Styela clava: one gene and its partners. The protein of the gene in region 1 purifies or fractionates together with the protein of each later gene. This does not show direct contact. Links are inferred from orthologs where the notes say so. Each region holds a gene or a part of one and is shown on either strand. Other genes may lie near its edges. The genes, in order: exosome complex component 10-like, exosome complex component RRP42-like, exosome complex component RRP46-like and exosome complex component RRP41-like.

What was found.
Region 2: the proteins of exosome complex component 10-like (region 1) and exosome complex component RRP42-like purify together in Homo sapiens (affinity purification with mass spectrometry; 6 studies listed by BioGRID and IntAct, counting the BioPlex papers as one, with this or other methods). This does not show direct contact. The link is inferred for Styela clava from reciprocal best matches to the Homo sapiens genes EXOSC10 and EXOSC7.
Region 3: the proteins of exosome complex component 10-like (region 1) and exosome complex component RRP46-like purify together in Homo sapiens (co-immunoprecipitation; 8 studies listed by BioGRID and IntAct, with this or other methods). This does not show direct contact. The link is inferred for Styela clava from reciprocal best matches to the Homo sapiens genes EXOSC10 and EXOSC5.
Region 4: the proteins of exosome complex component 10-like (region 1) and exosome complex component RRP41-like purify together in Homo sapiens (affinity purification with mass spectrometry; 9 studies listed by BioGRID and IntAct, with this or other methods). This does not show direct contact. The link is inferred for Styela clava from reciprocal best matches to the Homo sapiens genes EXOSC10 and EXOSC4.

Annotation. Positions count from the first base shown.
Region 1 is NC_135262.1:8,880,943-8,887,861, reverse strand, and holds exosome complex component 10-like, read left to right. Parts: upstream 1-3,912; 5' UTR 3,913-3,967; coding exon 3,968-6,349; 3' UTR 6,350-6,623; downstream 6,624-6,919. Other genes in the region: L-threonine ammonia-lyase-like, read left to right, coding at 1-88, 242-364, 672-850, 1,024-1,191, 1,719-1,899. UniProt on the Homo sapiens protein: Catalytic component of the RNA exosome complex which has 3'->5' exoribonuclease activity and participates in a multitude of cellular RNA processing and degradation events.
Region 2 is NC_135257.1:17,235,494-17,242,304, reverse strand, and holds exosome complex component RRP42-like, read right to left. Parts: upstream 2,433-6,811; 5' UTR 2,209-2,432; coding exon 1,339-2,208; 3' UTR 1,133-1,338; coding exon of another isoform or gene 618-1,132; 3' UTR 522-617; downstream 1-521. Other genes in the region: peroxisomal membrane protein 11A-like, read left to right, coding at 263-318, 406-521, 618-1,132; katanin p60 ATPase-containing subunit A-like 2, read right to left, coding at 4,239-4,370, 5,373-5,480, 6,437-6,509. UniProt on the Homo sapiens protein: Non-catalytic component of the RNA exosome complex which has 3'->5' exoribonuclease activity and participates in a multitude of cellular RNA processing and degradation events.
Region 3 is NC_135253.1:19,714,712-19,722,721, reverse strand, and holds the start of exosome complex component RRP46-like, read left to right. Parts: upstream 1-4,991; 5' UTR 4,992-5,022; coding exon 5,023-5,125; intron 5,126-6,096; coding exon 6,097-6,332; intron 6,333-7,192; coding exon 7,193-7,234; intron 7,235-8,010. Other genes in the region: uncharacterized protein LOC120326325, read left to right, coding at 1-1,476. UniProt on the Homo sapiens protein: Non-catalytic component of the RNA exosome complex which has 3'->5' exoribonuclease activity and participates in a multitude of cellular RNA processing and degradation events.
Region 4 is NC_135257.1:18,366,730-18,374,501, forward strand, and holds the start of exosome complex component RRP41-like, read right to left. Parts: upstream 3,019-7,772; 5' UTR 2,925-3,018; coding exon 2,784-2,924; intron 1,504-2,783; coding exon 1,450-1,503; intron 361-1,449; coding exon 200-360; intron 1-199. Other genes in the region: thiopurine S-methyltransferase-like, read right to left, coding at 5,227-5,910; thiopurine S-methyltransferase-like, read right to left, coding at 6,988-7,683. UniProt on the Homo sapiens protein: Non-catalytic component of the RNA exosome complex which has 3'->5' exoribonuclease activity and participates in a multitude of cellular RNA processing and degradation events.

The DNA of each region.
Region 1 (6,919 bases):
CTATATTGTTGTTCAGATAGGTGGTGGTGGATTGATATCCGGAGTCTCGGTTGCGGCAAAATATATAAACCCGAATGTCAAGATCATTGTAAGTTTAAAATCTAACTGAATCAAATTCGTATTATATTAAATCTATTTATGCAATGAACAAGTGCAGGAAATTGTTCTCTTCAGGCATTTAATTAATGTTTGGTTAGTCGTCGCCGCGCTAAATCCTTGATAAAAAGTTTCAAATTTTAAGGGCGTCGAATCAGAACGATGTCCAGGGTGGCACACGGCCAATGAGCACAGACGACCAGTCAGATGTTGCAGTACTATGAATGGAGCTACGCAATCGATTGCAGACGGATTAAACGTTTTGAGAGTAAGTGGTATCATGTTAAGCGTCTTTCGGTGCTGTGCCTCAGCTTTGAATTGTCTGCCGGTGGTTTTTCGTCACAAGTTTCCGTGTTCCCCATTTATTCATTCACGCGCGAGTGTCTGAAAATCATTGTTTCAGAACAATTTCCTTCAGGAAATTATGTTATACGCTTGTCTGGCTATAAGAAAAGTGTGTTATATCTGAATTTAGCAAAAGGCATACTCATGCCTTTAGTCGTTATTGATGCCTCACAAATAATTGAGTCTTTTTCCGAATCTTATAAATATCGCAATTGAAAATATTTGTACAGGTTGGATATAACTCATTTGCAACGGCACAAATTGATAAGCTCATATCAGTTCCAGAAAAGTATATTACTACAGCCATACTACATTTATTGGAAGGAGAAAAATCGGTGGTGGAAGGAGCAGGTGCAATCGGATATGCAGCATTGCTTTCCGATAAACTACCTGAAGTAAAGGGCAAAAAGTGAGTTTCGGTGCAATGTGTCAGTAAATTCTTCATTGTGTTTATTGTTTCATTTAATAATATGTATAGTACTGCACAGTGGCGTTAGTAGTTTGCTTGTCATTAACCTGAAATCTAACGATAGCGAAACTTGTGCTAATTGCGAACTGAATTTGTCCTTTTCTTTCCCATAGAGTTGTATGCATATTAAGTGGAGGCAATATAGATGCAAACATCTTGACACATGTCATAGATCGAGCATTAGTACAAGAGGGAAGGCTATCACGATTTTTAGTGGCTGTGACTGACCGACCTGGCGGTTTGGCAAGACTTACAGATATGTTGTCTGATTTAGGAGCAAGGTAAGTAGGCGTATACAGATTGTTATGGCGCATTGATTTTGGAATATTATTTTATGATCCGTGCGCAAATTTGAGAAGGAGCAAACGATTCTTATGTTATCTTCGAAGAAATAAATATATATATATATATAGGGCTCGAGTGGAATGTGAATGTCATTTACTTGAAACGGTTGTCACATTGGTACTCGAGGTGTATAGTGCATTTTCACCACGACCAAATAGCGTCTGGCCGAATAGCCACTATTGTTTATTGTACGGATAATGGGAATGATGAGGGATGATCTTCAAATGCTAACAGAGTCGGGTACTATACGCTCTGATATATATATTCATTAAAATCCATTTTAATTATAAACTGAGAATTATCATAATTATATATAGTCCACCCCTGAGCCAGCGATTGAATGATGGGATCTAAAGATTTCATGATTGGCATATGTATATTTATAATATTCTATATAGGGAGGCTGCATGATGTTTATTTGTTTTAATGATTTAATCACTGTCCATATATCATAACATTACAGCATCAAAGACATTGGTCACGACAGAATGTCTTTGCCTTCTCACGTCTACATGGCGGCAATTACCTGCACCATCGAAACCAGGAACAAAGGTCATGCAAAACTAGTCCGTGAACAACTAGAACAATTTTACAAAAATGACCTCAAGTGGCAACAATTTCACGATGACAACGCACTTCATTAAGAAACCAAAAGTGTCGATGAACAGTGGAAATATAGTAATATAATATATTACAGCAACATACACCTCAGAAAGCAGTGATGTTATCAGACGCATATATTTAACCAACTCTGCCTCCTAATCAAATCTACGAGTGTCCATATTTTGCACATTTCTGTGTAATTTTATAGACTTGATCGCGACCTTTTAGGTTATTTTTCCATTGCTTATCTTTTCATGCTTTATTTCTATTTACTTTATTACAACTGGAATCATAAAACAGTTTAATCAGCGACAGACCCAATATACCAATAGTTTATTTTTGAACTCGAAATCACACCATACATAGAAAATTGGCACAAACAGCACAAAACAATTTGACTTTTTGGAGTACTGCTGATTGCTGAAAACTAGACTAGACTTTAAAAACGAAAAATTACGAGCAGTCACACCTTAATAAAAAGAAATAAAAGCAGGTTTTATATAAAATCTGGCAGTCATGTTAATTGTTTTCAAATTCTTTTGAACCTAGCGTTTTCAACTGAAAAGTTCTCCCGTTTCATTCAGACATTTTTGCATTAGGTAGGGCTTTCATACTTATTCAGGAGCTGAGGAAAGCCGATAAGACAACTCAACCAAAAATCATATGACGAACCACGCCCACTTGCTCGTTCACGAGTCTATGTCAGGTACAAAAATAGTTTACTATTAACTTTTTAAGATGCGTTGATAGTGGATGAGGACCACCCTACGATGGTGAGGATTCCGCCAATCCTCTCGCCAACCGTTGAGGCTATCAAACAAACCATTCGTAGGCCATTGAATATCTACCATACCATTGTGTTGAAGCCATCCGGGGAATTCTCCTCACGAGTGAATCCCAATCGTGAGCGCATTTCGAAAACGAGAGGAAGGTCATTTTAGGCAGAGCACTATATTAATTATATTTAATCATATTACCCCTCAACAGCCACAAAGTATATCTAAACATAAAATTTTAATCCTGATTCCTGATCCTGAGTTTGTGTTGACTGGAAGTAATGATAGTGCCGCTGCTTGAAGGCAATACGAGGGTCCTCGCGAAATCTGTCCCACAATTAAAATTAGTTACCGTGATTTTTTATATTCAATGTTTCTCATAATGTTCTTATATTGTGTTGATAAATAAATGATTATCAATTGATTGTGAAAATGTTTGCTTTACCGGTGTGTATGTGCCTCACTTTCGCTATCATATGAAAGATCTGCCGAGTTGCCTCCAACTAACCCTTCATATTTACAAATGTGGTACTGGTACAGTTCACTAATTATAATAAATGCTTTTGCAAATAGCCTCTACATATACTTCTAATAATATATGTTCCAACTAAGTCAAAATAAACTCATAATGTACTTACCGCAGGATTAAGATTAAAAGGCATGACGTCGGTTTCGTGAACGGCACGTGCTTGAGTCTATTGGTCGAAAGGTAATGTTGCCGAGAATTTCTGGTTTTGTTGCAGGAGCATGTTTTCATAATTCTGTAATTTACCCGGGTTGGCGATTTTTTCTATTTATTTTTTTACTTCGAGACGTTTTCAAAATCAGCATCTCTAAACTAGAGTAGCGCACACTTGCTAAGTTAGGAAGATAATTTTTCTAATAGCCTAATGTCAGAATAGCCGAATAATTCGCTTTGCTCAGTGACTGCAATAAATATCAGAATATCTTGGGCTTGGGTGAATCTGTAGGCTAAATTGATTTTGCTACATACTGCTGTACTGACATACGGTACGGTTTTACTGTTAACCACAACATACATTCATATCTTTATCTGTATTGTATCCACTATCCTATCAAACGGTGGAACGTTAACCGGTTCAGACTGACACAGATATGCTGATACTGTGATATGAGATTTTCCTGCAGTCAGGCATTGCAGGAGTCAGGAAAGTCACGGTACGGGTACACAGTACGGACTTGAATCAACCACAGTCTGAGCGTACACCTGTACACAGATACCAGTAGATCTATACTTCAAATATATTGAGCCTGTAACTGATTATACGTTTTTTATTTCAGTATTTCAAACATTAAAAGGAATAACAGAATAATGGATGCTAATTCTGATAAAGGTTTTGCCAGTGGTAGTTTGGGTGATGTTGATGAATATTCAAAAAAAGTATTGAGTGCTTTAATGACAACTATCAAAGCAAGTAGTAGTTTGCCTCACTCTTCAGATGATTTCGACTTGTACAGCAGCTTTCCTGGTTTTCGCGCATTCTATAACAAACAAGGTTCAAGGATTTTATCAAACATCAACTCATTTCTACATCATCAAGGAATAAAGACTTTGCCACAAACTGATGGACAAACGAGTAGTGGTAATGTTGATGTAGATGATCATTACGATCGTATTGTTGAAGCAAATGACATGATGTTGGAACAAATATCCACATTATTAGAACAAGCTACTGCACCGAAAAAGGACAATTCACAACCAGATACTGATGTCGTTATTCAGCAACCTCTAGTTTTCATTACGAAAACTAAGCCGATTGTTTCGTCATGGAACAGAGAAAATAAATATGGCAAACAACAAACTTTCAAATTATTCCATGCACATAATATTATGAGGCCACAAACGAAATTCAAAGATAAAATTGACAACAGTAATCTACCTTTTGTTCCAAAAATTACAGAGAAACCAAATGCTGTGAAACAGTTACCGAAAGCTTTAGTAAATTTACATTCACAATCATCTGATGGTGGTGTTTCACTTGCCATTGTCAATTTGGTAAGACAAGGTAGAGAATATAACGCAGAAGATCAAAATATATATGGTCACCCATATGAAACGGAGCTTGCAAATTTGAAATTTTTAAACAAGCAGCTTCAAAGAGTCGAACCACAAAAATATGATCCTTTCCCATCAGAGCCATGCGAGGTTATCACGAATTTAAATGAACTGCTCGATGTTATTGAGCACTTGAAAACTTGCCCTGAATTTGCAGTTGATCTGGAACATCATTCCTATCGATCTTTCCAAGGTATAACCTGTCTCATGCAAATATCGTCGAGATCAAAAGACTTTTTGATCGATACATTAGAACTACGATCAGAAATTCACAGATTCAATGAAGTATTTACAAATCCTAATATTGTAAAAGTATTTCATGGTGCTGATTTTGATGTGCATTGGTTGCAGCGCGATTTTGGAGTGTATGTTGTTAACATGTTTGATACTGGTCAGGCCGCAAGAGAAATGTGTTTAGGGCATTTTTCTCTTGATTATTTGTTGCAAAAGTATTGTGATGTTCATGCAGATAAAAAATATCAACTTGCGGATTGGAGAATCCGGCCGATACCAGAGGAAATGAGAAAGTATGCGCAAGAGGATACTCATTATTTGTTATATGTGTATGATATAATGAAAAATGAACTTCTGGACTTGGGTGCCACAGGTCAAGCTTCTGGTACTGGTACCACAAGACTCCTCAATACTCTATATAGAAGTCGTGATGTTTGCCTACGAAAATATGAGAAGTTTCTACTTACGCCTACATCACATCTTAAATTATATGAGAGACGGAAAAGCAGAAAACAACTTAATAACAAGCAACTTGAACTTCTGAAATTGCTTTTTGAGTGGAGAGACACGATGGCAAGACAAGAGGATGAAAGCCCTGGTTACGTTTTACCTAATCATATGCTTTTTCAAATTGCTGAAATCATGCCCAGAGAGGCACAAGGAGTACTTGCATGTTGCAATCCAGTACCACCTCTTGTCCGTCAACATGTTCATGCAATTCATCAGTTAGTTTTGGAAGCAAGAGCAAAAGGCTCTGGTAAGAAGACAGATGCATCACATATCAGCACACCGACTGAAGTACCCGTTCCAGCAAAACCTGATGAAGATGCTTATGATGATATATTGACTTGCCCACATGACTTATCTAATTTTGATCTTTCTACACCAAACACTAAACATAAACCGCCGCAAGTATCGACTGCTCCACAATCGTCATTTCTCTGTAACGACGGTCGTCCTCAACCATTACTTACAGGTCAATCTAGTAATCCAACCAGTCATATGCAAGAAGCAAATTGGGATCCATTTTCAAAGTATTTTCCCCCTAAAAATGATTTGCCAAACGCACCAACAAAATGTATAACATCTCTTGACGATGTGAGCTTGAAAACAATGCTGAGTCTTGAATATGCTTGGAAATTGAAAAATCTTCATGGTGATAAACAAGAGCAAGCAGAAGAGAAGAAAGTTGTACAAAAACAAAAGCAACAAGAAGAAGATGTTATTATATTAAGTAATTTACCACAAGTTCATGGACAGAAGCGTCACCCACAACCAAATCAAGATAAAAAGATGTCGAGACATGCCAAAAAGAAAGCGAAGAAACTTGCAGTAAATTCGGATATACAACCATTTGAATATACCCAAGAGCATTATAAAAGATTCCATTATCATAAAAAATGACATTTTCGGACATTATCAACCTACTGTCATATTCTATTATGGAATTAATGTAATTCACAGCTGTCCGTAATGTGCTGAATAGTAGTGAATATGGAGAGATGCTATATCAGATCCGTCTGGAAGATAATAAGTGGTACAGATATTTCTCTGTTCAAAAAATTTTAATTTGGATTCACCTACTCTTCTCGACTGCCAAAATTTTTGCATGCACTGATTTAGTTCATTTAATGAAATTCACTGTCTTTTTGGCCAAATATAAAGGAAATATTTACAATTTTTCCTTCATGTCGCATTGTGGATAGTATGGCAAAGTATTAACATACCCTGTTGGTATTGTGTAGTTTTGGATATCAGGATAAGGGGGGTTTTCTGATAGACATTAATTTTTGTCTTGGCGAGTCATGGGGTATGACGCAGGGGCTAAGGGACACGAAGCTGGATAACCTATGGTAAAGTCGAGGTTTTGTTTGGATACTCCCGTAGTATGTGTACCGGATTAGGCCTCAATTTTCTTTATTTTAGTTCGGGACTGTCTTTGTTATCCAAGTGAATATCCACCCTGCCCATAGG
Region 2 (6,811 bases), on another chromosome or scaffold:
TGAAACATTTCATGCACAAAGTGAAAACACCCTGTGAAATAACTTTATCAAGCAGAGTTTTCTTGTAAAGTGAAAAGTAAAATCAGTTTTGCGCCTAGCATTGTCGACCTCTGTCCACTGGTATTTTATACTATATATTTCTGTATAGTATGTATTCCTCATAATTCACTCCTTTTACATATGTGATTCTGGGATGTTTTGACAGAAATGCTTTTTTTCATTTCCAGAGCTATAGCTTTAAAATAAATCAGGTCAAGTTCAAATGGATGACTTCCTAGCTTTTTGCAACAAGACGGCTGGTCGAGACAAATTATATAGGTAATTGATTGTTTTTTCTCAAGACTGTTTTTAGGTAAATGTGCAGAAATTGGGATTTCTTGTAATTGAATACAACATGTTTTATAGAGTCACGCAATATGGCAGCAAATTTCTTGTATGGTATCTACTGAGAAATGGCAATAAGGAAAATGCAGTCAACATGCTCATAGAGCTGGAAAAATTAATGAGCACGTCCAGAAAATGTGAGTTTATATTTTAATAATTCTGGCAACAGACACAGATCTCACATTACCAAAGCTCAATTTACTGAATAAAAAAAAAATATACATTTTTTTCAGTATTTAGATTTGGGAAAAGTGTGGACAGTCTCAGAGCAGCCCAGAGAGCAATAAATTTGCAAAACTATGTTCTGAGTCTCACACTAACTACCTCTCATACAAATAAAGCAGCCTACCTTCTCATTGACCACTATATATGGATGGGGAAAGTTGGCTTGGTACACGCAGATCTGAAGAAGTGGACAGAGAGCGCGAACAAGTTTTGGTTGGCATCTTTGATGATGGCTTTTGCAAGGGATCTCTATTCGTTGTATATCAATATGCAACTATTGGCTAGAGATGCAAGAAGGCGCGAAGAATCCATCTCGTTCCAGACCTACTTTTCCAATTTTGTGAAGCAGAATCAACAAGCAATAATCGACCTTTTGAAAAATGGATTCGATATAGTTATCCCCGCAAACAGTCTGGGATACACTAATTTCAATAACGGGGTCGTTGGGTTATGTGGCGTGTTGTCCTCTCTATTAGCTGCAGTACAAATAGCGAAACCCTCCATGAAATTAACGCCGAACTGACAAAGCACATGCTTGTTATTATCTATCTACCCCTACTAATTCTTACTTATACATACTATGCAATTATTTTCAATGAAGCGTTAATTTTGTATGATTGATCTGATATCAAAATAAAGCATTATAAAACGAATGCTAATATAATTTTAGGTAATATTTATGGGGAAACATTAGCATTGGGAATTTTCTGAAAAGGCAGATTGTTTTAGTCAAAGAAAACCAGTTTTGTCATTAAACTTCATAACTGGCATGTTTTTGAGAAACTTCAAAATAGATTTATGTAAATTCATTCCTACTCTCTTTCCCACATCTAGCATTTCGCTAATACTCTGTGGGTCCAGGCTACCAGAGCCGTCTTTACGCAGAGCTGTACAGCGGCCATCTTTCATAATTGATAAAATGACACTTGCCAAACAACATGCTTCCTCCTCGGCTGTGGCGTCGATAATATATCTCTGACCAGCTTTTGACAAAGTCACAAAAATTGGACAATTAGTCACATTCATGGGGATACTGTCCAATGGATCATCTGGCAAGTTAATTTCCACCTCCCCCTCATCACCTTCGGTCACTCCCAGTTTTGGGATAGATGTGTCAAACAAAGCAGCGAAGACTGCAATCGACACTGCATCAAGAAGATTGCCGCCACATTCTAATATGAGAACGTCAACATGCACTGACCAGCAATTTTTCCCAGGCACAATACATAAGCTTTTAAGGTCTAACACAAGATTATTGTTATAGGCTCTTGTTAGTAAACTTTTTATGGTTGCGGCAAGATCTTCACCGCCCCTACCTTGGAACTGTGGTGTGGCATTTGGGGAGCAGTCAATGTTAAAGTCCACCAATCCTTGGTCAGGAGAATTTGCCAGTGGCATTTCGAGATCAAGTTTCACGCCCACAAGAAGTTCTGTATTCCCAATTCTCAGTCTGCTAGATCCATTTGTGTTAGAAACAAGATTTACTTCCAAATCAATGTGTCTGTAATCTTCACAACCTCGTCCATCATTCCGCAAATCTTCTTGTATTCCATGAATTATAAAGCGCTTTTCTGCATCACCAAGTATTGCAATTGCCATTCTTGCAGACTAGAGTAGAATGCGCCAATTCGACCTATTACAGTAATAATTGAAACCTAAGTTCACATTACAGCATTAAGCGCACGCTCATTGTGTTACAGAACTGCAGATTAGTAGAAAAATAAGTAGATACCGTCAATCAATCAATTTTATTTTGGTCGCTTTGGTATAAAACAAAACAACAACAAACAAAACGCAGAGGACCTGGAAGACGTGAATGAAAACAAGACCTAACGTCTGAACGGTATAACTTCTGTATACTGGTATACCGGTAAGTGTATTACCAGACAATAGTCTAATCTAGGCCAAAAACCCTCTACAAATGGCACCGTACCTTCGCCGACAACTTAATTAATGAGACTCAGATACAGACGAGCAAAATGCGGTAGCAGCGATACAGTACCGTACTCTTCGTAGTCACACTCCCAACCTTAGATTGCAAATAAAAAAATAATTCAAATACAAGAAATCCGCGTGCGTGACCTTTGATCTCGTAAAATTTCATGTCCATGTGCTCATTGTGCTGTGCCCAGAGCCATTATATAACGGCTCTGCTGTGCCCATGGATGTTTCCTTGTTTATTTCCGTAACCTTGTCCAATCAATATTATGTCTACGATGACATTTGCGTGTTCTTTGTCAGTTTTCAGTTGTGTCTCCAAAAATTAGTCGTAATTCAAATAATTTGGTTCCATTACATTTGAACCCACGTACATTTGAACCCATGACAATTGCACCTGTATGCTATTGCACCTATGGAATTTTTTTTGTTTCACGGATAGTTAAACCCATACTAACCCTAACCCATGGGTTTTAGCACCCGAATATAGATTGAACCCGTGGATATACGCATGGGTTCAAATGTACATGGGTTCAAATGTACGGTCACCAAATAATTTAATTGTTATTATGTCTTCCTTCAGTTTAGTTGCAATAATTAGCCCCGAATAATTTGCGATAGACTACTAGACACGCCTCCGGTTTTCATCATTTGGCGTAAATAAGCTGAATTCAAAAAAAATAAAAGCTTTAAGACGGCTCAACCATATGGCGAAGCACCGCCTCTCGTCCGGATACGAGTACATGTCAGGTATGGAATAATGGTGGCCAGTTATTTGTTTCAGACGCATTAAGCATATGTACAGGTTTAATTCTATTTTCATCTCTTGTACATAACAAAGATTTGGAAACATCATTTAAAACTGACAAACAAAACCTGAGATTACAAAAACGAGACGACTGAAGATATCCATTTGGTCCAGTGAAAAAATTAAGCGATTCAGCTAAAAATTATCTTATAAATTAATCAAAAGCGGACAAACTTATACTGTATATTGAATCACTGCTAACCATCATCTGTAACAATTCCCGATTCAGCAATATCGTGATAAATGAGTCTTAGACATTTATCTAGATTTTATTGGGTTGTGAGATGGATAGAATTTACATATTTATCCCGGGGGAGAGGAAAGTGATAAGACGGGTTATCCATATGGCGAACCAAGGCCTCTCGTCCGGTTATTGTTCCAAGTCGGGTATGGGATTAATAAGTTATTTGTTTTCGAAAGCATGGACTTGATCATTGTCCCGCAACCACCCCCCCCCCTCCCATACAGCGTAAATGAAGCATTTCCTACACTTAGCAACCTGTGCCCAAAACCAACCTCATATAATCACGACCAATGATAATAATTTAATCTTTTACAACAGACAAGAGGTTTTAACAAAAGAAATAGGAAAATATATCACTAAAATTTTCTTATAAAAATGTGACAATTAGTAAGCGGACATAATACTACATAGTACTTTTTCCACTTTAAAAAAGTGCACAAAATATTGTAAAGTTGTGTACAAATTTTTAAACAGCACTAAATTAAATTTCACAGTACAAGTGGCTTGACTAAGCAAGAATAAATTAAGACTTGCTTAGTTACAGTGAATAAAGTGTGACCATATGTCATGAAATACTTGACTGAATTATAATAATTTCTAATTCAGTAATAATTGTTCCTCTGGAATACCGCAAAATCACTACACAGATTCATATTTCGTTTGCCAGTCTTTGTACTTGTGGCTCAGTTTAGCAGTTGATGGCTTAGTGTGAATAAGAACATCTAAAACACATGCTGTTGATATAGTGTCCAGGGTGAAATCTGGAAGTTGCTGTAGAAAAGTAGATAAATTATGGATACAATATAAACAAAAGCAATACAGCTTATCAAGGGTCTGAGATTATGTGGCCTCCTGAGCGTAATACTGTTTTATTGGTGTTTCAGACTTATTAACAATGCATGATTCCATGACATCTGTGGACTCGAGGAATAAACTCAAACAAGAAAGTTGGGATCATACATTGTTGTAGACAAAAACATGAGCAGTTTGGGTGTGACAGATATGAACAAATCATTATGGTTTGATATGGCTCTCATTTGCTGAGAAGCTCCCTGCCTTGATATGCGTTTAAATTGATCCTTTTTTTATAAATAATCACGGATCGATTTATACATAGTGTGAAAATATAAGAGTATACTGATTGATTATAGACAGTGTTCAATACTCCGATGAACTCAATAAAACATTGTGGTTTATTTATTGTGTGTACTGCCTTTAGTTCTTTTTAGACAAGCACCAAGTTTCCATTACAACACTACTTTATTGTAAGAAACGAGCTTTTTAAACCAAAGACACCATAGCAGTAACAAACTAAGCAGCAAGTCAAATTTATACACGTGCAATTATATCATATATATAACACAATAATGATGGTGTGGTAACTTGATCTTAAATGTTTCATTCATTTATTTATATTTTATAGATATGTGTATAGTGTGTTTTAAGTTTGACGAAGCATATAAACTGTCTCTCTCCGAATCGACAACTAAAATAGACCTTTGGTAAACATTGATAAGATAATTATAGTCAATATAATATAGTAACACAACAAATCCTAAACTTAGATACTTCCAACATATGGAAAAATTATCTGGAATTGTTTTATTCTGTTGTCTAATTCTTTTAGTATGTGCAATATAATGTGGACCTCCTGAAATATGCGCACCAAGATGGCGCACAACCTGAACTCAGGTTGTGTACCAGGTTAGGGTTCAGGTTATGCGACATCTTGGTGCGCATACTTCAGGAGTACCTATAATTTTCTATACTTACTTCTCCTTCAACATGATTCTCCAAGGTATTGAATATTTTTCTGACAACTTGCATTGCTGCTTCTTTACAAACTAATTTAAGATCTGATCCAGAATATCCCTCAGTTTTCTAAAAAAAAGAATATTGTGAATTGATTGCCTGGTGATGTTGAGAGAAAAGAACTAAGAAGTACTAATGGAAGTTTCTCTTTATAACAAACAATTCCTTTATTCCTTGAAACAAAAGAGCAATGCTGAAATATATGAGCGCAGAGTTCGCACATAGGTACTGGGCGCTCCATAAGTATGTGTACCAATATGGGGATAACTAGTTTTGTTTGCCTACTTTACATCAAGTTGTGTGGAGGGACTGAAACTTATGGACAGGGAGTATATTCACTTGGCTAACTCAGACAGTCCCCGAACTTGTAATAGAACTAGAATGAGGAAAATCAGAATAAAATTAGGGCCTGACCCTAACCTGGTACACATACTATGGGAGTATCGATACTGGTACAGAAAAGTCTCAGAACACACAGTTTTATGAAAAGATCATCGGAAAAGTGTGGTGGAAGTTGTCAAGAGTGACAATATAGAGAAGTCTTCACTTACAATTAAAATAAAACAGTATAATTATAGGTGACATAAGGGTTTCCATAGGAGTCAGCTTTTTGAAATCGATCGGCCTAATAGTTGTGAAGAAAAAGAATATTTCCAAGCAACAACAACAAGAAAAAACACCAAGCAACAACAACGATTTTTAGCACAATAATCGATAAGTGCATTTTGTGTCTAATAATGCACAATCAGATATCAATCATCAAATAATGGAAGAAAAACAGTATAGCTAGCATTTTAATACAGACATTCATATTCCATTCAAAACAGGCATTCGACATTCTACCATGAAACCAAGTAATTCTAGCTTTCAATAAAAATCAACAACAATAAAATAATTTGAAAATGTACAAATTTATACATAAATATCTGAATAAGAAGTACCAGTTGGTATTTACACCAGTTTGATTGAATTGATTGGAAGGCAAATTAACTGGTTAGTTAAACCAAAATATAAATTATAATCACCTCAGCTAGAGCTCCGTAATCAAGGTTTGTGTTGATGATCAAACTTCCTTCACTATTTTTCGGAGGTAGAAACCTGAAAAGAACATTGAAATTGGTTGGATTAGTGATTCTTGATCTGTGGCTTACTAAAAAACTCTCAACACTTGGTGCCGCTGGTTCTTCAACAAAAATACCTAGTTTTGGTTTAAATTAGTTTTCATCCAATATTTCAAGCGCCATGTATAATAATAAATAGCAAAAAAAACCTGAGTAAAAGCAGAAATGTCTCCTAGTTGAAGAAATAGACAAATCAAATTTCCTTGAATTAATGTAGTCATATAGAGAAACCCTGGATTGGATTGTACTAGTTTGACTTGCTTGGTCTAAATTTAAACT
Region 3 (8,010 bases), on another chromosome or scaffold:
CAGTATGCAGGTATGCCTAAGGTAGCTACTGGTGGAAATACAAGCATGCCAACTCCTACTAAATCAGATTCTAAGTTCTCATCTGCTATCACAAAGAAAGTCGAAAAAATTGGGGATCAAGCTTGTAATGATAATACAGACAAAAATATCCAGATCAAAGATACTTCTAGCGAAGACCAGACCACTGAAATGGGGATAAAAGATGTCACTTTTGATAGAAAAAAGCTTGATAAAAGCAATGACAAATCACAGGTTTTTCAAGAGATTCCTACAGGAACAGCTCCCAAAATTTTGAGTAAAAGTGGTTATTCTTCTGATTCTCAAGCAATCGTTAGCAATGAAACTGAGTCTTGCGCTATTGGTAATTTGAAGGACTTAGATTCAACAGAAGAACGTACAAAATTTAATAGTGATGTACGTGAAATTGAGAAGACCTCTTTAGGTTTCTCAGCGAGTAATAAAGCAGCTGATGCATCGACATTGAAACAGTCTGCACCCCAGGAATCAATGCAATATAGTGTCATAGACAATCCCAATCCTTTATCCCTAGAAACTGCCAATAAAGAGGAACAATATAGGACATATACAACTGTGGCTACGATTATAGAGGGTGTTATAACTGCCAATAAAGAAAAACTGGGAATAGCGGATGAAAAAACTTGTCCAAGTAAGCTTATGATACCTGCCAACATAATATCTGAAACAGAGCAGTCATACACACGTTTGCATGATAATCCGAATTCTGTTCAAGCAAGCAAACTGAATGTCACTTCTGTAATTGATGATGCAAAAAGTGTTATTTCAAAAGAATCGGAAAATAATACATCTACCAGTTCTTCTATATCTAGTCAGTCTGACACTTGTACAACTTCCAAAACTGTGACTAAATCCGGGGTAACTCTTGTTAAAAAGGGTTCGCAAGTTTATACAAAAATTATGCCATCTCGGCCATTCTCTGGGATTTCTCATTCACCACGAAGCGCATTTACTCCAGCAAAACATAGAATAACACCTGAACCTGGGAAATCTTCAATTTTAAAACGAAGTCCGCAAATGGATAGGCTTGCTGCTTTATCACATAGTAATCCCAAAGCACCACTTCTAAGATCAACCTCAATGCCTGTGTCAATAGAGGATGATAAAACTTCTCAAATACGACCACACAAGACTTTACTTCGAACTGGGTCAATATCTGATTACACGAAACAGAAATTGAAAAGTTCAATTTTGATGAGAACTTCAGCATCACTGGTGCGTAAACCAAGTATTACAGAGCACGAAATTGAACAAATTTTAACTGATCCAGAATCATCTCAATCTGAGGACGATGATGAAATTGAAAGGAACTTTAAACCACTTGGTTCTCCATCAACCTCTGCTTATACTTCAATAGATGTGATCAACAGACCGGTAGCAGTGACCCCTGTTTTGTCAACAAACAAGGACGTCCCAGTTTCAACTTCAACAATTACATGAGTCGTGGCTAGTTTTTGCGCTATCGAATCTGAATTTGATGTCACTCACCATGAAAGTCTTGACTACATGAAGAGAGAGAGAGAGATTTATTGTTCGTCAACCAGAAAAAACAAACTTTGCATCAATAGTTAAAATATACAGCAACTTAAGGAAAGGTTTTTAGCTTGATAGTCTGATGGAAAGATGAAGAAAAATCATGTCACAACAATGCAAATGGTATCATATGACATATCAGAACCTGAAATGGCCCAAATTTAATACTTAACTACTTCGCTCGACATCCCAATCAAACATCCATACTTCGAGTACATCCTGTAAACTTCGTTAAATAAGGAATGCCCGATATAATCTATCCAGTTATGTCTACAGAATGCATGCATGTATAATTGTACATTCATAGGATTGCAATATTACAGCTAAGAAGAGCAAAGATAAATTTTGTTTTATTTTTTTTTCATATGGAATTGACCGAAGCCTATTATTTTGTCCATTTTTGTATCATTAGCTATAAATGATAAATGTGTCATTTAAATATTCTCTATTTTGAATATAACCGATTCTGAATGTTTGATCAGCACTGGTATTCTTTATGTATCAATATTCTGCCATTATTATGAGGTCATGTAAGCGTGTCATCAATTTTGTTAAATACTGATTTTGTTTTGAATTGATGAAGTCATTTTTAGCCTATATCTGTCCTCCATTTCAGATGATCAGTAAATGTGCATAACATAATGAATAAAGTTTTTCAATTTGATTTTGAATATAATACAAAGATATTGAGAAGTATTGGAAATATATTTTTTCAGAGAAAAATTAATTTTTTTAGAAACCAGCAGTAGGTTTGTTAATCTGAAGAATAGTCTGAAAATACATTGTTTTTTTTTGACAATAACTAAGAAGAGTATTGTTCATGCAAGTAAATTTATTTTATTGTGATGCGATTTACTGTCATCAATATCTTATGTTTGTTTATATACCTTCATCAATAACATATAAAGGCTTAGCAATAAAGTCTTGATGTTAGTCATAACTCATAAAATAGAGCAGCATACCAATGCAATCAAAATAATTGATAATATTTAATTTTTCTTTTCAAATTTTAGATCAACTTTCGCTATATAATAGTAATATGATTTTTAACTGAGAAACTAAACATTTATACACACCATATTCTGTGTATACTGTATTTATGTATTTGAAATTCATTATTGTAAATTGGTATTCACTGTTTAATTGTTTGACAATAACGTATATGTGTCTCATACTGAACTGAGCAAATTTCGTACATCAACCCACCAAATGGGACACACATATGATCATGTGTTCAACATTTCTATCAATGCTATCAGAATGATAACTTTGGTTTTGGTGCAACCAACTGAAGTGGGTGCTATAGCCAAGCTAAAGCTTTAGACTTGATTATTCGGGCATCGCAGATTGCACCAGGGTTAGAAGCCCATGTGCACTAGAGATGTACCGATACCACTTTTGTCGCCGATACCGATACCAGCTAAAAACGCCGATACCGATACCGATACGCCGATACTACAAAAAGGCCGATATTACCGATATTCCGATACAGATACTATGTAATTATTACTTAATTAGGTATGCTGTGTAGGGCAGACGGGTTAAAACAATGGTCTTTAAGCGTTGTTCATAGTACACATTATTTCAGATCAAAAAAAAGATATATATATCACATAATATGAAATTAATGTTTGGTATCCATATACTGTAACTGATTAAGATACATTGTACAGTAACGCTAGTAATCTCGGTGTTTAATTAGAAAACTCATAAGCCGAGATGTCCAATTTGAATTTAATGTTAATATCGCGAGCTTCGAATATCGTTATTCGTGTTTAAAAGAATATCGAATATCACCCACACATTCTAGCGCCGCCGTCCTACGTTCAAATTAAAAGCATTTTACAAATATTTAATTCAGTGGCTAATCGTAATCGTCGACGCAATAAGTCAAAGCCAACATGAAAGAATATCAATCAGCACCGACAAAAAGAAGGCCCACCGATAACCGTTGAGGATGTTTTTTTACTTCACTATTTTATAATATTTTACAATTGCTATCTTATATTTTGAGACAGTCTAGGGCTAGGCGGTCAAGTCAATATATCTATAAAGAAATCGTGTAGTTAAGCAGAATTAAAATTAATACCTGTGTAGAGGGATAATTGTGTCGGAATTTAGTTTATCGATGTCGACGGACTAAATGACACTCGTACTTGACGACAAACAGTCAGAATTTATACCCGTGCCAAAAGTCCATGTGCCGTTAATAAGGAAGGACCCCAATTCCACTGCATGATTTAAAACTGGGCGCCTAGTTGCTTTTTGTTATGTGCTGTGTTGATATATTTCTTCATAAAAACTATGTAATATTAAAAATGTCAATATAAAAATTTGACAGCGAAAATAGCCAAATTAGTTGAGCTAGTTTAGCTGATAAATAGCTAAAAACATGTGAATCCTATTCTCTCGCGGGGGTGGGGACATGTATGGCTCACGATCTCTCCAGACAAAAATAAATTAAAAAGTAGTATTCCAACTTATCTTTTAAAACATTCTGGACCATATCAAAAAGGTAAATATATCGGTAATATCGGCCTTAATCTAACCGATACCGATACATGGCCGATACCAAAAAAATGACCGATATTGCCGATACCGATACCGATACATCGGTACATCTCTAATGTGCACCTAATGTGCACCCTAAAGTGCTAAGACTTAACTGTGCGGACATCTATAGTTACACTATGGTTCAAATCTCATGCTCACAACAATCTCACCCAGGGTGTACTACGTTGAATCTTGAAGATTCCAGTCTTTCCAAAAATAATAACTTCTCACATATTGCTAGATATCAGTGGGGTCTTATGCAGGGCCACATACAGAGCAAAGTGTTTCATTATTAAAATTAAAAATTTCCGAATGTTGGTTAAATTGCTGTCTTTTGCAGTTGGACATGCAAGACTAGTATCAGACAATTATGGTCTTCAAATGTAATTTCTTGATATATATTATAGCTTATTACTGCCATTATTTTATTTTTCTGCTTTTATATCTATGATAATGCTAGTTATGTTCCAACTATACATAGTTGATAACATTTTTCGCCTCTATTTAAAATCGGTTAGTTTACCAAATTTGCAAATTTTTTATATCTCACATTTGCTTTAGAAATGCTTGATCTTCAAATATTTCTTCTCAAACTGTTTTATGAAAACTTACTTAGATATGAAACTCCTTCTAAACTAAAAATTTTGCTCTTAGGCCACAAGAAAAATTGAACACGTTGGTTATGGTCAACATATCATTTTTTTCTATTGCTCTATTGTTTTCTAAAAGAAAATGCTGAGATAAGTTTTGATACAAATATTTAAGTCAACAAACCCACCGAGTGGACATTTTCCAATTTTGGTTCTACTGCTACATTTTTGCAATACCTTATTTATATTGTTCTGTTTTTCTTTATATACAAGGATTCATTGTAGTGTACATTGTGATAGAATAAAAACAATGAAGCAGAAAGAGATGCCCGGTATTACTGTTGACATGAAAGTTATGAGATGTGAACAAAATATTCTCAACAATCCTGATGGATCTGCTGATTACTCTGAAGGTTTTTCAATTTATTGTGTTTTTTTGTACTCTCGTAGTATGTGTACCTGATTAGAGTTGGACCATAATTTTATTCTGATTTTCCTTATTTTAGTTCTATTATGAGTTCGGGGACTGTCTGTGTTAGCAAAAAGAATATACTCCCTGCCCATAAGCTTTCATCCCTTCATACAAATTGATGTAACGTACCGGTAGGCGAATAAAATTAGTTACCTTCATATGAGTATATATACTTCTGGAGCGCCGTTTTTTTTATGATAAGATGTTTTAATCTGAGCTTAAATAGGTGTTTGCTTAAGGTTAGAAAAAGATTGGTGTTCTGATTTTGGAATGACAATTACTTTTCCACTTCCCACCAAATTTATTATATTACACATTGAGTGAGGTGCAGAATGAACCAATTGATTGATCAAGTCTTTCACTAATCGTCTTAAACTGTGAATAGCGACTTGATAAACTGTTAGGCAATGGCATATTCACATGGCCATGTTTGGTAATTCAGTAACAATTTATTCAAAAAATGGGATGCAATGACGGGACCAGTTAACAAGTTTTATATTTTAGAGATATTGCCGAAAACTTTTTGTCAGAATTATTCCACCTGCGAAATCAAATCTACTCGTCATCTCTGGGTAAAGGCAAAATATTCTTCCTGCAATCAAAAAGTCACATAATTTATATTCTGCTCTGAACATTTCACTATCCAGGATATCAAAGAATAATTAGAACAGTTGTTTCAATAGAGTAACTCCATGCTTCCAACAGAAATAGATATATAGATTTATTGATTTGCAACCAAAAATGAAAGTAAAAATACAATGAATGTACACAATGTTTTCCGGTAAAGACCAGAGGGAGCGATACCATACAACCATATGATCATCTAAGTCAGAGATGGCAAACTATAGTTCAATTGATCAATTCCAGATTTATTATTTGCTCTATTTTTAAACACATTCCATTTCAATTTAGGTGACACAAATGTCCTCGTTGCAGTTTATGGACCGGCAGATTGTCGAGAAAGTAAACAATTAATTGACAAAAGTACAATTGAAGTTTCATTCCGACCCAAAGATGGGATTCCTGGCGTTGCGGAGAAATACTTGGAACACACAATAAGGCATACATTTGAAAATGTCATCATGACACATCTATATCCAAGAAGTCAAATAATGATTATTATACAAATTGTTCAAGATTGTGGATCTGTATCCTTTATTAAAAACCTCAGATTTACTAATTTATTTTCATTTTTATGACGAATATTTTGTGTCTTTTGCTCTGAGCAGGGTACTCTCGTAGCATATGTGCCAGGTTAGGATTAGGTCATAATATTATCATAATTTTCTGGTTTTAGTTCTATAATGAGTTCAGGGACTGTCTGTGTTATCCAAGTGAATATCCCCCTTGCCCATGGGTTTCAGTCCCTTTACACAACTTGATGTGAAATAGGCGATCAAACTTAGCTACCTCCATATTGGTACACACATTCTTGGAGTGCCCTGAACAAGCCCATCTGTACTTGCAGACATTGATATCCGAGGTTATTTGAGAAGCTACTGATTTTAGGAGAACCGGAATTTGAGTTTTAGTAGACTTGATTATAACTTTGAGTTTAAAGAGTTTGACTGGTTCAAGCCAGAGATGCCTGGAACTAGAAGGAATTAAATATTCAAATAATTCGAAAATTAGTTATATTCGATTGAGTAAAGTCTTGATTTTAGGAATAATTCAGATTATATTCTTTATTAGCATTTATTATTTTATGATAGAGAAAAAAATTAGTAACTACTGACCAACTAAAATAGAGAATATAGATTGGAACAAATGTTAATTTAAATTCTACTGCATGACTGAATTTGATTTCTATGAATTTACAATTGTCTTTAAATATATCTCTTGTTGAACAGACCCATTTCAGAATGTATTTCATATTCGATAAGATTATTTTACGATGTATGAATTGTATTGAATAGTGGATACTAAAATATTTGGTTTTGGCCCTGAATGGTTCAAGACATTTCGATAAAGATTTGTCATCAAAGTTCCTTAACTACATTTGAAACAGCTTCTTTCTTGTGCTATCAATGGATGCAGCATGGCTTTACAGGTGTGTGTTTGATGTTTTTACTATTTAATAGACTTCTTATGCTCAGCCAAATATCAATATCAATGAATTCTAGATATTCGCATATGGCATATTCGGCTGAGCAGCGGGAATACTTTTGTAATCGCTCCTCTGATTACCCCGTTTGGATTTGCATCCCACAATATATGATGTGTGAGAGGATTTCTAGACTCCTCGGGTAAATTACGGCTTCCTCCACCATCAAGTCCTTGCATTCGAAACAAATGACTTGCTATCAGATCCAATACCAGACGTGGACTAGTGACTACTTGAGACTGTGGTGCGTTGCATGAATAAGCATTATTGTGGCTTTCTCCTCCCCCTGGATAAATTTGAAAATCCTGATATTAATGTGACACTCGGGGACAAGAAAACTCTGGATCGTTTTTCAGATAAGTTCTGGAATGTGGATTGGTATGTCATTGACAAATATAAATATGGTGAAAGTAATAAAATTATGGTTTCATATTTATTTCGAAATGCTCTAGAACTCCAATACGAGCGGTGCGTCCACCCTTGCGGGGTGGGCTCAAAACTTATCAAGAATCCACAATAAGCCTCAACAGTCCTTTAACACACATTTTTTTTATTTAAATATCCTTCGGCCCACAGTAATAATCAGAGGTAAATTGATTACTCCTGATGAAGATGAATAGAAGCTCCCCACCAAATATAGAACAAATAAGGGTGGTCATGTAAACGTTCTATCAAAGGTAATGGATTTGTGGATACTGCCGTAGTATGTGTACCAGGCGAGG
Region 4 (7,772 bases), on another chromosome or scaffold:
TTTTCTGTTCTTTTACTGTTAGGATTTTCAATTTTTCATTCGACCATGACATATCAGGAAATTTTCAAATGTAAGATTTCTCAATTTATTGCTGAAATCGGGTATAAAGTACTAGTAAATTGAATATTCGAATGTTGAATGAATTTGAATATTCAATCCATTTTTGACATAACTGATAACCGATTTTAACTTTTCTCACCTTGGATATAATTCAGTTAAAATAGCAGCTTCAAAAGTCTGTTTAATGTGCATAGACAATTCTTGACCCTTTCTGTCCCCGCGTGACCGATGTTTCCTCTCAGCAGTACTAAATGTTGCTTGACTGTATTCACAGTTCAGAAATGCTTTGTCACTGAGAATCTGTGGATAGATAAATAATAATAAAGAAAGTATTCAACTATCTTTTATCTTCATACAAGCGAAATCAGGGTTTTTCAAAGATATTTCTCAGGTAAATTTAATGACAGTTTACGGTCCTTAAACCAATAGCCAAGACCAATCACAGCAAATTTCCTCAAATCGCATTTATACTCAACTCTTGAGTTTTGTAAACAACAATGTCTTCGAGTCCCAAATAAAAGTCTCTATGGCGATTAGTCATGTTATTTTGTTAGATGATTGGAGTAAATGGAAAAAGAGGCTCAAGTATCTATCTGTACAGCGTGACTGCTGGTAATTCCCATTTCTATCTTCCACAATTTTTAGCTGTGGGAAAATAAAAATATTAATATTTTTGAAAGTTGTGCCAAACATTTAAAAATTAGAATGTCGGATTAATTGTTAAATCTTTGTAGTTGGGCTTCTCAGCCCTACGCGCAAGTCACAAATTTTCTTTGTGAATCTGAGCCTCTAGTTCGAGTAAACCCTGGCCTAGTCACCACTGATTGAAAATAGTAGGTCCGCATTCCCCTTTCTAACTGTATATCAGTTGTTTGCCCAAAGCCTTTTTGCACCAGCACCAGAGCCTTGAGAGAAAGAGAAAAACTCCAGAACACATACTGTCAGGTTGTCCTCGACTTACGAGGTTGTTCCGTTCTTGTGATGCGATGTAACCCGAATTTCAGTGCAAGTCGGAACAACCAAAATGGCGAACAGTATCACTGAAACTGTGTACCATGCGACTGAAGCTTAGTGATTATTTGTTCATAATCGTAATACTTGCAATTGTCCACGTCATTCACGGTGTAAAAAAAAAAAATAATGAGTCCAAAGCACTGATTTCTTGATCACAATGATCCAGTTTAAGGGCTTAGATATTACAGACAGTACAGTATTATCTTTTATATTTTTATGGAGTGCGTAACATCGAAACAGTGTAAGTCGCGACCGCTGTAACCTGAGGACTCCCTGTACTGGCTTTTACACCCCTAAATACTGTTCAAAGCTTCGTGAAGAGCTTACACCTCAACATGAAGATTTCATGACTCAACTCAATCCTTATTATCTTACCTGTCCTCTCATATTAGATGATGGTTCATGTGGTCCATAGACTGCAGCTAATATCTGAAAATTTAATTTTTGAAATTATAAACCGGCTCATTGTTATACAATGATGGAGATGAGAGGCCATGGTTCACCAAATGATTAAGCATCGATTATTAATGAAATTCTTATACCAATTAATGTTATAAAAATAAAAAAAATAATAACATTTTTCAAAGTTATCACATATTCTACTCAAACTTATTGTGAAGTGCAAATGGACAAATGATGTATGTGACATTTGTGACATGATATAATTATTTATAAAATATATGTAAATTGCAATAAAGAGTTCATTTAGGATTGTAACCGGCTCGGCGGTTGGCACATTAAGCTTGTCATTACATTACTTATAACCAGTGGTGGGATTCAATATTTTTGTCAGCCGGTTCCATTACTAAAGTCATATTTTTCACCTGGTTCTGTTAGGATAGGATAGGATTTACATATTTATCCCGGGGGAGAGGAAAGCCGATAAGACAGCTTATCCATATGGCGAACCACGGCCTCTCGTCCGGTTACCATTCCAAGTCGGGTATGGGATTAGTTTTACTGTATTGTTTGTTTTCGGAAGCATGGACTTGGTGGTGGAGGAAGCCGTAACCGACCAGCGGTTACATGAACCACCCAACGACGGCGAGGAGTCCAGCAATCCTCTCGCACATAACCATCCCTGCATGGGATTCGAACCTGCGAACCCACGCAGAGTAGTTAGAGGTGCGGTGGCGAGCGTATTCCTAACGTTTAGCTCGTTGAGCCACACCGCCGCGCAAAAGTCATTGGGAGTAACCAGTAATCCTAACCGGTGCGCTGATCTCATGAAATTCCGTGATACGGTTTTATAGAACTGGTGCGAACTGGCTGAATCCCACTACTGCTTATAACCCATTAGGAGTTCCAATGTTTTAATCTCGTGGAGGATAAGTTAGTGCGAGGGGATCGCTGGACTGGTATATACATAAGTCAGTTACTGACATATGATTAGGCCATCTTATTAACTTTACTCTCATCTTAAAATAAATTTGAAAATTTTTTCCTTTATCATGCCTCAGCCAAATGCACCACACCTCAAAACTTTTATGAAGGACACTTTTGAGCTTCAATTTATACCAAGAAATCGATTCGGAATACAGATGGACCTGAATTGATCAAGGTCTGGCCAAAATAAACTAAATAAGACAGTGAATCCCAAAGCAGGAAATTTCCGTTCATTTGAAAAGTTTTTTTCGTTAAGGAGCTGTTTGAGTAGAACTTAGATAAAATAAGTCTTTATAGAAAAAAATATAACCAATTTCATGTACCTTAGTGTTCCCTTGCTCTAAATAGGACGAACCGTCGGCTTGTGAAAACACTCCAAGACGACAACGAATCCGGCGTAGTTCTGTTGGTAGTCTGCCATCAATTCTATACCCTTCATCAGTTACCAATTCAAGACCAGCCATAGTTATTAACTGGATTAAATATGATCAATAAAATATGAAAATTTTTTGTTTTCGAACTTTAAAAACATAATGGCTTTAAAATATTTTTCCTGTACTATTTTTTATACAACGTATTGTTTTTTACAACGTATATTGTTGCATACTGCTAGGTAGGGAAGTATAGTCTGGAAGGACACAAATATTTCTTGTTCTGCATTTCCTCCCCGATTTTTTATATTACACCCTGGGTATTTAAGTATTTGAGTATTTTAACGTAATATGTTTACTGTTACATAATGTAAATTCACTGAGAAATGGATGGCACTGTGTCTGCGAGACAGAATCAGATTTTCATCTAGGTTTGGTCAAAAATGCTTAAATTTATACGAATAGATAAATAAAACAAAACAATATTAAAGCTGCAAATGACGAGGGTTTGCAAAAAACATCAAAAATACTCAGCAACAAGTGTATGGTTATTTATGATTTTTTTTCATGCCTCATTACTTATGCGTAACACTAGCAAAGAATCCATTAAAGATTGGACAATTAGTGTGACATAGTGAGGAAGAAATAAAAAATTCCAAAATCGATAGAGTGATATTTTTAAAAAAAGCTTGGGGACCACAGGGTCATGTCTGCCACTTCATTTAGTCATATAGGATCGAACAAATGATTTGAATATTTCTGATAAAATTGAACAATATAAAGAAAGCCTATTAAACGAAGTGGAAAAATTAATTAATCACTGATTAAAATAAAACAAAATTTGGCCAAGAAATATTAAGAACTGACATCATAACAAATCTGGGTTGCAACAGGACTTTATAAACACACTGTTTATCAATTAATACTTTTGCATTTACTGAGTGAAGGTATCATATTAGAAATGAACAGGAAAATGAAACAATTTTGGCATGTAAGCACACAAGAATCTGAGGACAAAATTAATTTCAAAATATTAGGTTTTTAAAACCAAGAAAAACTGCATTTTTGGCATGAATTGCAATATCATATACTTCACGTTAATAAATATTCTGTCAGACAAATACAGTATAAATGCAGGGACGATTACACTGTAAAATGCAGTTTTGTGAACTTAGTTAAATAGCAACATCAAAAAAACTGAACAATTAAAATTAAGATATAATATAATATTTGCTCTGCAATGTAATGTAATTTCACTGTACGCATAGATGCCCAAAACATGTACAACAGTTCTTCATGTGCAATACATTTATTATTTTGCTTTCTTTTGTAGTCTTTACAGTATTGAACATTGCACCGTATTGAACTGATAGAAACGAGTTAAAATCAAAACTAGGTGTTAATATTGAAAAGCAGGTCACACAAGTGTTTAAAATATTGCAATGCAGCCATGGACCGTGAACGTTTAGGAAACCACTGGTCTTTTATCATATTCCATACACAAACTTTTAACTTCAGGCCAAATTTAGAGTATTTCCATTCGACAGGGATGCCAGTATATTGCGCTTAATATTCCTAGGACAACAGCAAGTGGGATTGCACAAAACAAAAATAAGAAAAGCTCTTATAATTATAGGGTTGCAAGAAAAAGGGGTAAATGCTTAAATTTCGCAGGCCGGATGTTGCCCTGCCCTAGACCCTACCACCGTTTCTACCAATTAGATAAATACTGAACAACGATATCCAGTTTAAAATCAAACTAATTCCAATTTCCTACATTATTTACATATTAAAAATTCTGAAGTGGCAAGATGAGTGACATTACAAGAGATAATAAAATGCTGATTGAAATCTCATGGAGGGTGAGGTTAATTTGTTAGATCAGGGGTGTGTAACCTGCGGCCCGTGAGCCACACAAGGAAAAATTGCGCAGCCCGCAAAAGTTTTTAATTTAGTTTAATCTGATACGTGCAAGAATCCCAAGTCAATACCAGAGTCCAATTTTTTTTTTTATCTATGCTTATGACGTTACAATGCCCCTAAAACAGCTAGCTTGTGCGAACAACGCATGTCGTAAGATAAATACCAAAATTTTTAAGCCTGCATGGCTGCATCACTAGAGAGTCTATTTCAATAAAGGTGTGGCCTGCAGTTTAACCCAGTTAGTTTCATTTAGCCATCCAGTATTCAAGGTTGCACACCCCTGCATTAGATAATAATGTTCAAAGGAAGGATTTAAAAAAAAAATTATCAATCTAGCTGTGGTGCTAATTATTTAATGAAAAACCATATGCATAAAATTATGTAATGAATCAGCAATTGCACAAAATTATGTAATGAATCAGCAATTGCACAAAATTACTGTTATTAATATTATAAAATCAACTTATTTATTTCACTTGAAAGAAATAAAGCAAAGTCGAATTGTCAATTCCAAATCTGGTTGGAAATTTGCCGGATACTTTATCATATCAATAACTTCTATGTTACATTTTTCCCCAAATGTGCCCTGAAGGTTCTCAATCGTGATGCAGTGAGGTGGACCTTTGCACTTTGACATATCATAAGTGATAGATTCCATCAAGATTTTTGCTTTTGGCTTCATCAGACTGAAGATTAAGTCTGTGTATTTTTGCTGAGTGGGAATATTTATCGCGACGTAACTTCCGCGGTCCCAGAACCCATCAAACTGACCACATAATTCTGGTTTTAGATCAAAAATATCACCTCTGTAAATAGTAATATTCTTCTCCTTACATTTGTAAACCACAAGACAGCTATCAGAACAGGTTGATTCTGAGTATGTCAAGTTATTTTCTTCAAAAAATGCTTCGATTCCAATTTTTGAAAACTCAAGACCGACCACCTCTAATCCTTTTTCTTCCAAGAAAATCAAATCCATCGTTTTTCCACAAAGTGGAACGAAAACACGTCCAGTCGTTCCATTTTCAAAAAGTTTCTCAAAATGTTTCACTAGCAACTGACTGTAATTTTTCCTATGAAATTTCGGGTCTTGATCTGCTGACCATTTCCATTCATCTACGGCCACTTCTCTCCTAGGTAAAGGATTAGTTTCCATGTTTGTAGAATATAGTGATATTTTACTTTCTAAGGTCTGTAATTATATATAAAATTAAGTCAATATATATGAATATTAATAAGACTTAGCACCTAGTTATGAATGAAGAGCTTTCTTGACCTACATTATTGAAGTTATTCATATCATGAAATACTATATTGATCACTGGGGTTAACATAGGTAAATAATCGTGAAAAACATCGTCAATTCCTTTGAGTGCGATCAGAGTTATGTGCGTATAAGCCTTAGTTTGGCAACTTTTTTTTCGAGTTTTAAACTCTGCTTATATGTGAGGATATACGGTAGTACTATTACTCTTTTTTACTAAATCATGATATGAATACAAGACAAGGAAAAATATATGTCAAATCATCCTGCATAGTGCAATTATTTAGAAAAAAGGTTTACATATTTAGTGCATGTAAATACAGTAGAATCAACCAAAAATTTCAAACACAGATATTACTTCATAGTCTATGAAATGGAAATAAAATTTGAAAACTTAAAACATATGAAACTGCTTTTGAAGAAAATTGGACTTTATATTCATATTCTATAGGAAGCATTTTGACTAGTAAACGATTCAGAGTGAGACAAGTATTTATTACAAATACTTATAAAAAGCAAGCAATTTAGAAATATACAGGTGTCCAAAAAGTTTCTCCCGATTTTATAGTATCAACAAATAAAAATTTCTTTGTCTTTGTATATTAATCGATCTTATTGTGCTTGTAGTTCTCATTTATTTTATTTATAAAATAAGATTTATTTTGAATTAAAATTGGTATTACTATAAAATACACCGACATTATTTGGACAAAAACGTGAATAAATTTGATTTTAATAAGAAATAGACGTACACCTTTTGATTGGCTGCACTACCCTTCCCACAATCAAAACAACAAACATTAATTTTACTTAATAAATCAGAATGATACTACAGAATGTTGACTAATTTATGTTCTTTAATAAATTAACATGTTAATCAGAAACCAGGATTAAAAGTAAAGTTGTAAGTTGTTCAACACTTCATGACTCTCTATATTATATCTGATTCACAATGGTCAATTTAAAACTTTATTTCATTGAAAGAAGACAATAGGGAAGAGTCATAATCATATCTCCTGCATTGAAAACGGGATGTGCGAGCATGGTCATTGTATCAACAACTTTAATTTCACATTTTGACCCAAAAGTGCTTTGTAAATTTTCTAAGGTTATGCAATGTGGAGGTCCACCGTATCTCGACGTGTCATAAGTGAAAGTCTCCATCAATATTTTCGCCTCTGGTTTCATCAGTTGTAAAATAATATCAGCATATTTCTGCTGAGTAGGGATATTGATTGCGACATAACTTCCACGATCCCAAATGCCATCAAATTGGCCACAGACATCTGGGTTCAAATTAAACATATCACCTCTGTAAATAGTGATATTTTTCTCGTTGCATTTGTACTGCACCAAAGGCTGATTTACAACATCCATTTTCTTGTAGGTCAAATTGTTGTCTTTGAAAAACCCTTCAACTCCGATTTCTGAGAACTCCAATCCAACAACTTCAAGCCCTTTATCAGCTAGAAATATCATGTCCAGAGTTTTTCCGCACAGCGGAACAAAAACGCGGCCTGTTTCACCATCGGCAAATAAGCAGTCGAAGTGTTTCACCAGCATAGGCGCGTATTGTGTCCTATGAAAAGGTGGGTTTTCATCTTCATTCCATATCCACTCTGTAGGAGCGAGTTCTCCCTTCTGCATCTCTTTTGATTCTGACATTTTAAATATAACTAATAATTAACTGTTCTATCTGTTTTAAAATAAGCATCAACATATTCATAGTATTATTACAGAAAATATATGCATAT